Macaca mulatta: one gene and its partners. The protein of the gene in region 1 binds, or shares a complex with, the protein of each later gene. Links are inferred from orthologs where the notes say so. Each region holds a gene or a part of one and is shown in the gene's direction. Other genes may lie near its edges.

Region 1 (3,203 bases):
AAAGCCCCAACCCAACCACTGCCTTATTACCCCTGAGACTCTGTCTTGGATTTGTACAAAATGAAAAGGTGAAAGTCACCCATCCCCACTTGCCCTGCACAGAGGCAACTGCTTTCTATGGTTTGGTCTTGCACCGCTTTGAACATAACCAGTCACTGATGACTTTCCTAGGAGCATGTGTTTTAAGCCTCCATGGCCGCCATTGTCAGTATCATACACCACATTCCTGTGGGCCTTCATGCCCACAAGTCTCCTGGATGATCTATTTCAATGTGACCTGGAGAATGTTCTGTGGACATCAGGACCGGGAGAAATTCCTCCAAAAAGGGCTCTGATGTCGAAGAGGTGTGGAAAACGACACACAATCTGTCTACCTGTTGGAAAGCCGCAGTGCATGTTAGCACATTAAAGACTGACAAATCCTGCAGTGGGTAGCTCTGTTCAGCTTATAACTCAGCTTTCCCCAAAAGTATTAGATCCCAGGCATCTCTTCCAGGAGCACCTTATTACAGCATTCATTCATTCAGCAAGTATCTACTGAGGTCCTATTTTGTGTCGGGCATTATGTTAAGTGCTGGGGATACTATGGTGAACCAGAAAGACAATCCCTGCCCACATGGAGCTGACAGCATGGTGGGAGAGACCATCAGTAAACAAGTAAACAAACAGATTAATGATTACAAATTGTGGAAAATGCCAAATAAGAAAAGACTGGGATGCTATGAGAGAACAGGCAAGATCTACATTTGACTGAGTGGGGGTCAGAGAAGCCCCTTCTGACATTTCCTCTCAGACCTAGAAGAAGAGAAAGCAAGGTGGGGAACAGCGACATGAAGTCTCTGCCGCAGGAGACAGCAGTGGCAGCTCAGGGACCTGAAGAGGCCAGCGTGACTGGGCAACGGGGAGGGCCGGCTGGCAGAATTGACTCAGGCCTCTTACTGTGCTGGAAATGCAGGTCTGTCTCCCTCTGTGGTAACAGAGGCTCATCATCAATGATGTCCCGGTTCTCCAGAGCTTGGGTAAGGGGATGTAGATGGGATAGGGATGAAATGCACTTTGACTAGCCACTAAGCAGGTAGCTAGTTTCCCCTCATGCTTTCTGAGTCCACATGACCTTTCAGAACCCAGGTTCAGGTCTCTTCTGCGGTCCGGCAATGACCCCTCTTTGCCTAGCCCTGGGCCAGGCATGCGTCACATACAGCCCTGTTGGCCAATCAGCCTCATCTGCCTGCAGGTGGCATTGTGAAAGGGGACGAGATCATGGCAGTCAACGGCAAGACTGTGACAGACTACACCCTGGCGGAGGCTGAGGCTGCCCTGCAGAAGGCCTGGAATCAGGGTGGGGTAAGAATAAGCCCCCTCCGTCCTTTCCTCCCTCACCTGCCTGCCTCAAACCCTGGGCTCTGCAGCCAGGCCTCACAATCAGGTGCCGCATCCCAGGGCAGGCATCTGGGGTCCAGGCAACACTTTGGTGACACCCACATACCCCATCCAGCCAGTGGTTTAAATCTGACAAGATGGGATTCAGAAAAATAAATGTCAATTCCTGACCTTGGAACCAAAAAGCCAGTGGCTCAAACAGACTCCAGAAGCCAGGGCATGACAGGTCACCCAAGAAAAACACTTAAGGTATTTTCTAAGTGCACACTGAACAAGAATCAAGAGAATTCTGGGGGCTACCAGAAAGCATTAACAAAAGCAGAGAACCCAGGATGAAGGAGGGGCTGGTGGGAATCTGCTCTGCGATCATTAGACACCCACCTGGGTCAGAGCCACTGCATAAGGTTGCCCAGGCTGTGCACTGCACAGCCTGCACAGCCTGAGGGGGTGCCCTTTTACAGACTGTAGTGTGAATGGTGCCTGCTCACGTTGTGCAATGCAAAACCTGTGCAACTGTATGCAGGCAGCCGAGCCTGAGGTATTAAGTTCAGTGCTGAGGAAGCTAACCAGATGGTCCTGGGACCCACAGGAAGGGATGTGGAGAAGAGAAGACTCACGGGTAACATGATGACTATCTTTGATTATCTGAAGGTCTGCATTAGGGCAGAGGGAGCATAAGTGTTCTCTCTGATTCTTGAGGGAAGACCTGGATTGGATGGAGGGAAGTCCTGAGGGGGAGAGAGAGAGATTTCAGCTCAATATTAGGAACTAGCTCATGGTAGAGGGGCCCAGTAATATTTCTGATACTTTTCAGGGGATACATCCAAGCCAAGGAGGGAATGAGGGGCAAGGATGGCAGTAAAAGGGATTCAGGTGTTAGAATCAAAAAGCTGGTCCAGAAGTCCCCCACTTGGTTGTGCATCAGAAAGTGCATCGGAATTACCTAGAGAGGTTGTTAAAAGTACTATTTCCCAGGACTCACCCCTGACTTCTAGGGGCCAAGTCTGTAAGTCTACACTTTTAAGAAGTTCCCCCAAGTGATTCTGAGGTTGCTGCCTGTCCCCGGTCCATAGATCGACATTTGGGAGCTGAGTGTCATTCGAGCACCTTGCAGCCCTGGCCTCTATAGTCCCGAAGCCTCAGAGACTAGAAACATCCTCAGACCATGGCAGTCCACAGTGGGGCCCACGTGTGCCCATGGGAAGAAGGTGCAGGCTGGCTGATCCTGGACCATGGGGCCCAGAAATGGGGACGGAGTGCCAGAGCAGACACACCATCCAACTGAGTGTGCCCCAGAGTCACACAGCTTCTCCCCACAGGACTGGATCGACCTTGTGGTTGCCGTCTGCCCCCCAAAGGAGTATGATGATGAGCTGTAAGTATGTGCAGCCACCTAGCCTGAAACCTCCTCTTCCTTTTCCAGAATCTCAGCCACCTTTCTCCAGCCCACCCCCAGCCTTCTCCCAGCCTGAAGGAATGGCCCAAGCACACAGCTTCTCATAGCCAGAGCTCCTAGAAAACTCCTGGACTAGAGCTTAGTCATTGTCCTTAAGCAGTGTCTGAGCTGCCTCCCGGGCAGTCTTGTCCAAATTCTTCTCTACTCTGGGGAACTGAGGCGTGAGGTCTTAGACCGAATAAGTAGTGATGTTGGGACAAAGACTCAGGATTGTTATTCCCCACTCAGAACTCTATCCCCTACCCCATTAGTAGATGGTTAGAAGGTGTCTGTGTTCATCCTTCACTCTCTGGAAGGTCTTCCTGATGTCTAACTGCATTCACTCATACTGTGCCTCTAGGCAGCCAGGGCCACAGGCTTTTGTCCC
Region 2 (2,336 bases), about 30 Mb from region 1:
GTGCTGCAGCTGGGGGCGCTGATCTACAGGGTCAAGTTCGAGGAGGACAAGTCCTACTTCCCCAGCATCCCCAAGCTGCTGCGGGAGCTGGTGCCCCAGGACCTTATCCGACAGGTCTCGCCTGATGACTGGAAGCGGGTGAGCATGGGGTGGGCAGCAGGAATGGTGGGGCCCTGAATGGGCCTCTGGGCACCCCAGGGGCCAAGGGGGCAGACGCTGGCCAGCAGCCCAGGGAGGTGTGTCTTGTGGTTCCTGTACTCGATGAGGCCGCCCACCCTTGTTCCTCTGCCTGCCTTATCCTTCAGTCTTCCATGCCAAGCACTCAGTGGCCAATTGGCAGTCATTTGCCCTGTCCTGGTTACCATGGTGACCTGCTTGTCCTTGATACCCTTTGGTCTGCCTGCCTGGGGGTGAGAAGGGAGGTCGGGAGTCCATTAGCTGCAATATGGGGAGAGCCCTTCACAGCACTCCAGGATGGGGCTGGAGTGGGCAGGGGTGGTGTGGGGAGGACTCTGAGCTCTGAGCAGGCCTGCCCTGAGCAGGCTTGTCCCCAGGACTGAGCCCAGCCCTGACCCCCCTGTCCCCATAGTCCATCGTCGCCTACTTCAACAAGCACGCAGGGAAGTCCAAGGAGGAGGCCAAGCTGGCCTTCCTGAAGCTCATCTTCAAGTGGCCCACATTTGGCTCAGCCTTCTTCGAGGTGAAGGTACACCATGGGCTTCTCAGAACAGAGGAGGAGGGGAACAGGGCATTGAGAAGGCACAGAGACTCCTCCCCAGGACTGTGGGAAACAGCCATGGCCTTGGACACCTGCCCTGGTGAGGGAAGGAGGGCAGTACCCTCAGCCTTGTCCCAGCTCAGCGTCTTAGCTGGGCTAAGTCCTGGGGACAGAGGGACCAAAAGCTCAGCCTGGCAGTGGAGGCAGGCGTGTAAACAGGCCGGGGTAATGGAGGACGGCCTATGCTCTGACAGTGGGGAGCCCTCGCCCAGGTGGCGGAGCTCGGGAGGTTCTGCCGGGTCTGAGGAGGCCTCCTAGAGGAGGTGATATCTGAGCTTTCCAGGGAGACCCTGGAAAGAGTGCTCCTGGCAGGGGTCCCGCATAGACAAAGGCCTGGAGGCGTGAGAACTCAGGTCTGGGAAGGAAATGCAAGTAGTGAGGGCAGGAGGCAAGAGCAGGCTGTAGAGAGCAGCAGCTTGCCAAGCAGGTGAGAGGCTGGGTTTCCTGCAGCGGTGCCTGCCTTGGAGGGTTTTCAACCCAGGTGACATGGCCAGAAAGCCTCTCAGGCTGTGGGTGGAGGAGGGGTCTGAGGGGCACAACAGAGGCAGGAGTATGGTGAGGAGGCTGGTGTGAGAGGACAGATGTGGTCTTGTCACACAGCTAGGATCGGAGGCCTTTTGAGAAGCTCGGCTGTGCGAGAACAGGTAAGTAGCTGGAGGCAGATGCAGGGTTCAGGAGGCTTTTTAAAGATGAGATGCCCTTGGGCTGAGAGGGAGGACAAAGCAAAGGATGGCCTGGGGGACCCATGAAGGGATGTGGGGCAGCACTGAGGCCCAGCGAAGGTGGAGGCCATGAGGTCATGGCAGGGCCGTCAGCACCACATAGGCAACAGGAGAGGCTGACTTTATCCCAGCCGGGGCCAGGTTTCATTCCTTTCCCCAAACGCTTTTCTTGCTCTGGGCCCCCATCTGATGCCTTCTCATCTTTTTTTCTAGCAAACTACAGAGCCAAACTTCCCTGAGATCCTTCTAATTGCCATCAACAAGTATGGGGTCAGCCTCATCGATCCCAGAACAAAGGTGAGCAGGGATAAGAAGGCAAGTGGGGGTGGCCTTCTCTGCCTGAACCTCAGACACAGTCCCGGAACAAACCCCGCAAGCCCTCCTAGCCATCATCTATCTCCAGACTCATCCACCCATCATGCGACTTCAAAAGCTGTCAGCGTTTGCTGGGACTTTACCCAACATTTGCTCCACAAAAATTGCTCTCCTGAAGTTACTAACAAACTCCTTCCTATGGAATCTGAGCTCCTTTTAGTACTTGGCCTTTCAGTATCACTGGATGCTCTGCCCATGTGGATTGTGGGGCCGGCTGTGCAGGGGTGACTGTGCATCTGTGTTTCTGGGCCAGAGCAGCCCGACTGCACACCCAGAGGGTCTGACTGGACAGGTAGTGAAGAGGGCTCGTGACCACCATCTGTCCATTGGCTTCATGCGTCACACATTCCTGGCTCTCCTCTGTGTTTTGGTCATTCCTTCCTGGACCCTTTTGTGCCTGCTCCTGTACGCTGTGTTCCCCAAGGCTCTGCCCTGTCTTCTTCTTGACTCCCTCCTCAAAC
Region 3 (3,406 bases), on another chromosome or scaffold:
CTACCATGGGGTGAGGATGAAGTGGAGTGGGAGGAAGATGTGGTCGATGCCACGCCCCTGGAAGTGTTCTTGCTGTCTCAGCACCTGGAAGAATTCCTGCCTATCTTTAAGAGAGAGCAGATTGATCTAGAAGCTCTGCTGCTCTGCTCTGATGAGGACCTTCAGAGCATACAAATGCAGCTGGGTCCCAGGAAGAAAGTTCTGAATGCTATAAACAGGAGGAAGCAGGTGCTACAACAGCCTGGGCAGCTGGTCGACACCAGCCTGTGATGGAGGGTTTTGGCCTGGAGCATTGGGGTGATGCTGTGGTCTGCTGGCAGCACTCCAGGCAGCACCCCCTCTTTACCCAATGCCAGATCACTGGGAATGGATTCTAGGGCATCGGAGATGCCTACTTGAGAGAGAGGCCCAAACTTTACTCTGGGAGGCCCATCCAAATAAATCTCCATGAGAAACTTGAGGAGACTTCATAACAAGAAAATGGCATTTCTCTTCAGTTATCTTATGTGTGTGTGTGTGTGTGTGTGTGTGTGTGTGTGTGTATTTTTTTTTTTTTTTTTTTTTTTTGGAGATGAGGGTCTCACTCTCTTACCCAGGCTGGGTTGCAGTGGTATGATCATAGTCCACTGTATTCTCAACCTCCTGGGCTCAAGTGATTTCCTCCCACCTCAGCCTTTCAAGTAGCTGGGACTACAGGTGCACACACCCACACCTGGCTTATTTTGTATGTTTCAGTAGAGGTGGGGTCTTACCACGTTGCCCAGCCTGGTCTCAAACTCCTGACCTCAAGCAGTCCTCCCACCTCAGCCTCCTAAAGCATTGGGATTGCAGGTGTGAACCACTGTACCCAGCCTATCTTTTTCATACTTTTGAATAAAGAAAGGGTCATATGCGTGACAGGAAAATGAAAGAAACTTCCTTTACTTTTCTATCTCTGGATTTAAAATTATAATCTCATGTCATTATCCTGCTGCTTGCTTTCTGATCCATATAACCTGGGAATTCTAATTCTTTTTCTCTCCTGAGCTCTATGACTTTGCCTGGTGGTAGAGACTAAAGTTCTTTCCTGGCCTGAGGCTTGATGCCCAACTTAAATGCATCTAACCCTTTAACAAATGTGTACATGTTTACAAGTAATGGAAATGCATCTATAATACTCCTGCCTGAGAATAGAGACAGAGTGGCAGTGGGGAGAGTGAAGAAAGAAATAGAATACAGAGGGTACTTGTTGTTGACTGACTTGTGTCAAATTCATATGTTGGCACTCTAACCCCTAATGTGACTGTATTTGGAAATAAGGCCTTTAAAGAAGTGATTAAGGTTAAATGAAGTCATAAGAATGGGACCCTAATCCTATAGGACTAGCGTCCTTTTTTCCTTTTTTTTTTTTTTTTTTTTTTGAGATGGAGCCTTGCTCTGTCACCCATGCTGGAGTACAGTGGCATGATCTCAGCTCACTACAACCTCTGCCTCCCAGGTTCAAGCAATTTTCATGCCTTAGCCTCCTGAGTAGCTGGGATTACAGGTATGTACCACCACGCCTGGCTAATTTTTTGTATTTTTAGTAGAGACAGGGTTTCACCATGTTGGCCAGGCTGGTCTTGAACTCCTGACCTCGGGTGATCCACCTGCCTTGGCCTCTCAGAGCGCTGGGATTACAGGCGTGAGCCACGGCACCCAGCCTAGGACTGGTGTCCTAAGAAGAGGAAGAGACACCTAGGTAGAAGGGACACAGTGAGGCCACGTGAGAATGCAGTGAGAAGGCAGCCGTCTGCAAGCTGAGGAGAGGGGCCTCAGGAGAAACTAACCCTGCCAACACCTTGATCTTGGACTTCCAGCCTCCAAAGGTGTGAAAAAATAAACTTCTGTTGATAAACTTCTGTTGTTGAAGCCACCCAGTCTGTGGCATTTTGTTACGGCATTCCTAGCAGAATAATACAGTCCTAAGTAAGAGGGGTGGGGGAGGAGACCAAGAAAAACACAGAAAAAAAGTCTGGCCAACTGCAACTAATGAGTTTTTTAAAGGTAAACACCTACTGAAACTTAAGGAAAAAAAAAAAAAAAACTAAGTTCTTTGGAGGGAAGATTTGATCGTAAAAGGAAATTTCACATTTTCATACTTATTATGTACACATGGTTTATTTACTGTTGTCTGTCACCATTGCTGCATATCCGAATACCTGTAGGTTCCATGATAGAAACTGACAACACTTGGCTCACTCCTGTAATTCCAGCACTTTGGGAGGCCCAGGCAGGCAGATCACTTGAGGTCAGGAGTTCAAGACCAGCCTTGCCAAAATGGCGGAAACCTATCTCTACTAAAAATACAAAAATTAGCCGGGCCTGGTGGCATGTGTCTGTAATCCCAGCTACTCCAGAGGCTGAGGCAAGAGAATCGCTTGAACCCAAGAGGTGGAGGTTGCAGTGAGTTGAGATCACACCACTGCACTCCAGCCTGGGCGACAAGAGTGAGACTCCATCTCAAAAAAAAAAAAAAAAAAAAAAAAAAAGAAGAAAGAAACGAACAACACTGCTGCTGACATTTTTTCAGTGGCAATCCCAAATTCAAACTGAAACCCCACTGAATAGCTAAGCTTCATTAGATCTCCACAGCCTGACTTACATCAAGTGGAATTTACTGTTGCTTCTGGATATAATACAGATACAGCTGTTTATCTTCAGTTTGCTTTCTGATGCACATCTGTTTGGGTTACTTCAAGAAGCATCATGGAGGATTCAAGTTTAGGGGAGGATACAGATGCTCAAATCTGATGAACAATTGGCTTATTCTTCCTTAATGAATATATTCAGAAAGCTTGTTAGCCATTGAATAAATATGTTGCATTAGGGGATGATTGTTTACAAATACCATATCTTGTGGAATAAACTGAAGTTGTGCTTGCCTTCATTAATGTGCACAGAAGCAGTTGGCAAATAGAAAGCGCTCAGAAAAGTTTGTAGTCTGAGCCTGCCACTATTATATTTCATCATCACAGATGCCAGAATCCCCGCTTCACCTATTGTCTGGAATCTGCCTAATGAGATACTTGCTCCCCGTCCTGCCCTAACTACATCATAGCAAGAGAGCCATCACTCAGGTTAGTAGAAATGAACTTGAACATTGACTCTCATCCCTTTTTAGGAGATGTTTGTCCCTAAGGGTCTCATCAGGTACCTTTATGCTCTTCTTGGGGGTTCTTTTCTTTTATGATTGACAGAATTAATAGGTGAGGGTTCTCCAAAGGTCTCAGCATCAGGGATGTAGTCTCTCCATCACAGAGTATTGTTATATAATAAAAAAGGTTTATACCATGTTATAAGAGGTTATCAATGTTCTAAGAATTCCAGATCTTTCAAACTAAATACCAACTACAGGGGACTAAGAGAAGATGCCAGAGCAATATAA

The links.
Region 2: the proteins of USH1C (region 1) and MYO7A are in contact, whole or in part, in a crystal structure (PDB 5MV9), measured with the Homo sapiens proteins. The link is inferred for Macaca mulatta from reciprocal best matches to the Homo sapiens genes USH1C and MYO7A. Residues at the interface, in NP_001284693.1 of Homo sapiens: Glu450, Pro456, Ile457, Val461, Val462, Ser463, Tyr466, Glu467, Lys479, Gly480, Pro522, Tyr526, Asp527, Asp528, Glu529, Leu530, Thr531, Phe532, Phe533; in NP_000251.3 of Homo sapiens: Phe1946, Val1953, Ala1976, Lys1995, Lys1996, Trp1998, Gln2017, Pro2020, Lys2021, Arg2024, Tyr2026, Ser2112, Ala2113, Phe2114, Phe2115, Glu2116, Val2117, Lys2118, Ile2128, Ser2161, Gly2163, Asn2164, Thr2165, Tyr2166, His2168, Leu2181, Glu2183, Thr2184, Ser2185, Leu2186.
Region 3: USH1C (region 1) and ANKS4B share a complex: the UniProt entries of both Homo sapiens proteins name them as parts of the IMAC/intermicrovillar adhesion complex. The link is inferred for Macaca mulatta from reciprocal best matches to the Homo sapiens genes USH1C and ANKS4B.

What each region holds. Positions count from the first base shown.
Region 1 is NC_133419.1:47,967,876-47,971,078, forward strand, and holds part of USH1C (harmonin), read left to right. Parts: intron 1-1,234; coding exon 1,235-1,344; intron 1,345-2,699; coding exon 2,700-2,755; intron 2,756-3,203. UniProt on the Homo sapiens protein: Anchoring/scaffolding protein that is a part of the functional network formed by USH1C, USH1G, CDH23 and MYO7A that mediates mechanotransduction in cochlear hair cells. Required for normal development and maintenance of cochlear hair cell bundles.
Region 2 is NC_133419.1:77,624,816-77,627,151, forward strand, and holds part of MYO7A (unconventional myosin-VIIa), read left to right. Parts: coding exon 1-138; intron 139-589; coding exon 590-706; exon of another isoform or gene 707-818; intron 819-1,713; coding exon 1,714-1,797; intron 1,798-2,336. UniProt on the Homo sapiens protein: Myosins are actin-based motor molecules with ATPase activity. Unconventional myosins serve in intracellular movements. Their highly divergent tails bind to membranous compartments, which are then moved relative to actin filaments.
Region 3 is NC_133425.1:21,174,082-21,177,487, forward strand, and holds the end of ANKS4B (ankyrin repeat and SAM domain-containing protein 4B), read left to right. Parts: coding exon 1-270; 3' UTR 271-2,866; downstream 2,867-3,406. UniProt on the Homo sapiens protein: As part of the intermicrovillar adhesion complex/IMAC plays a role in epithelial brush border differentiation, controlling microvilli organization and length. Plays a role in assembly of the complex.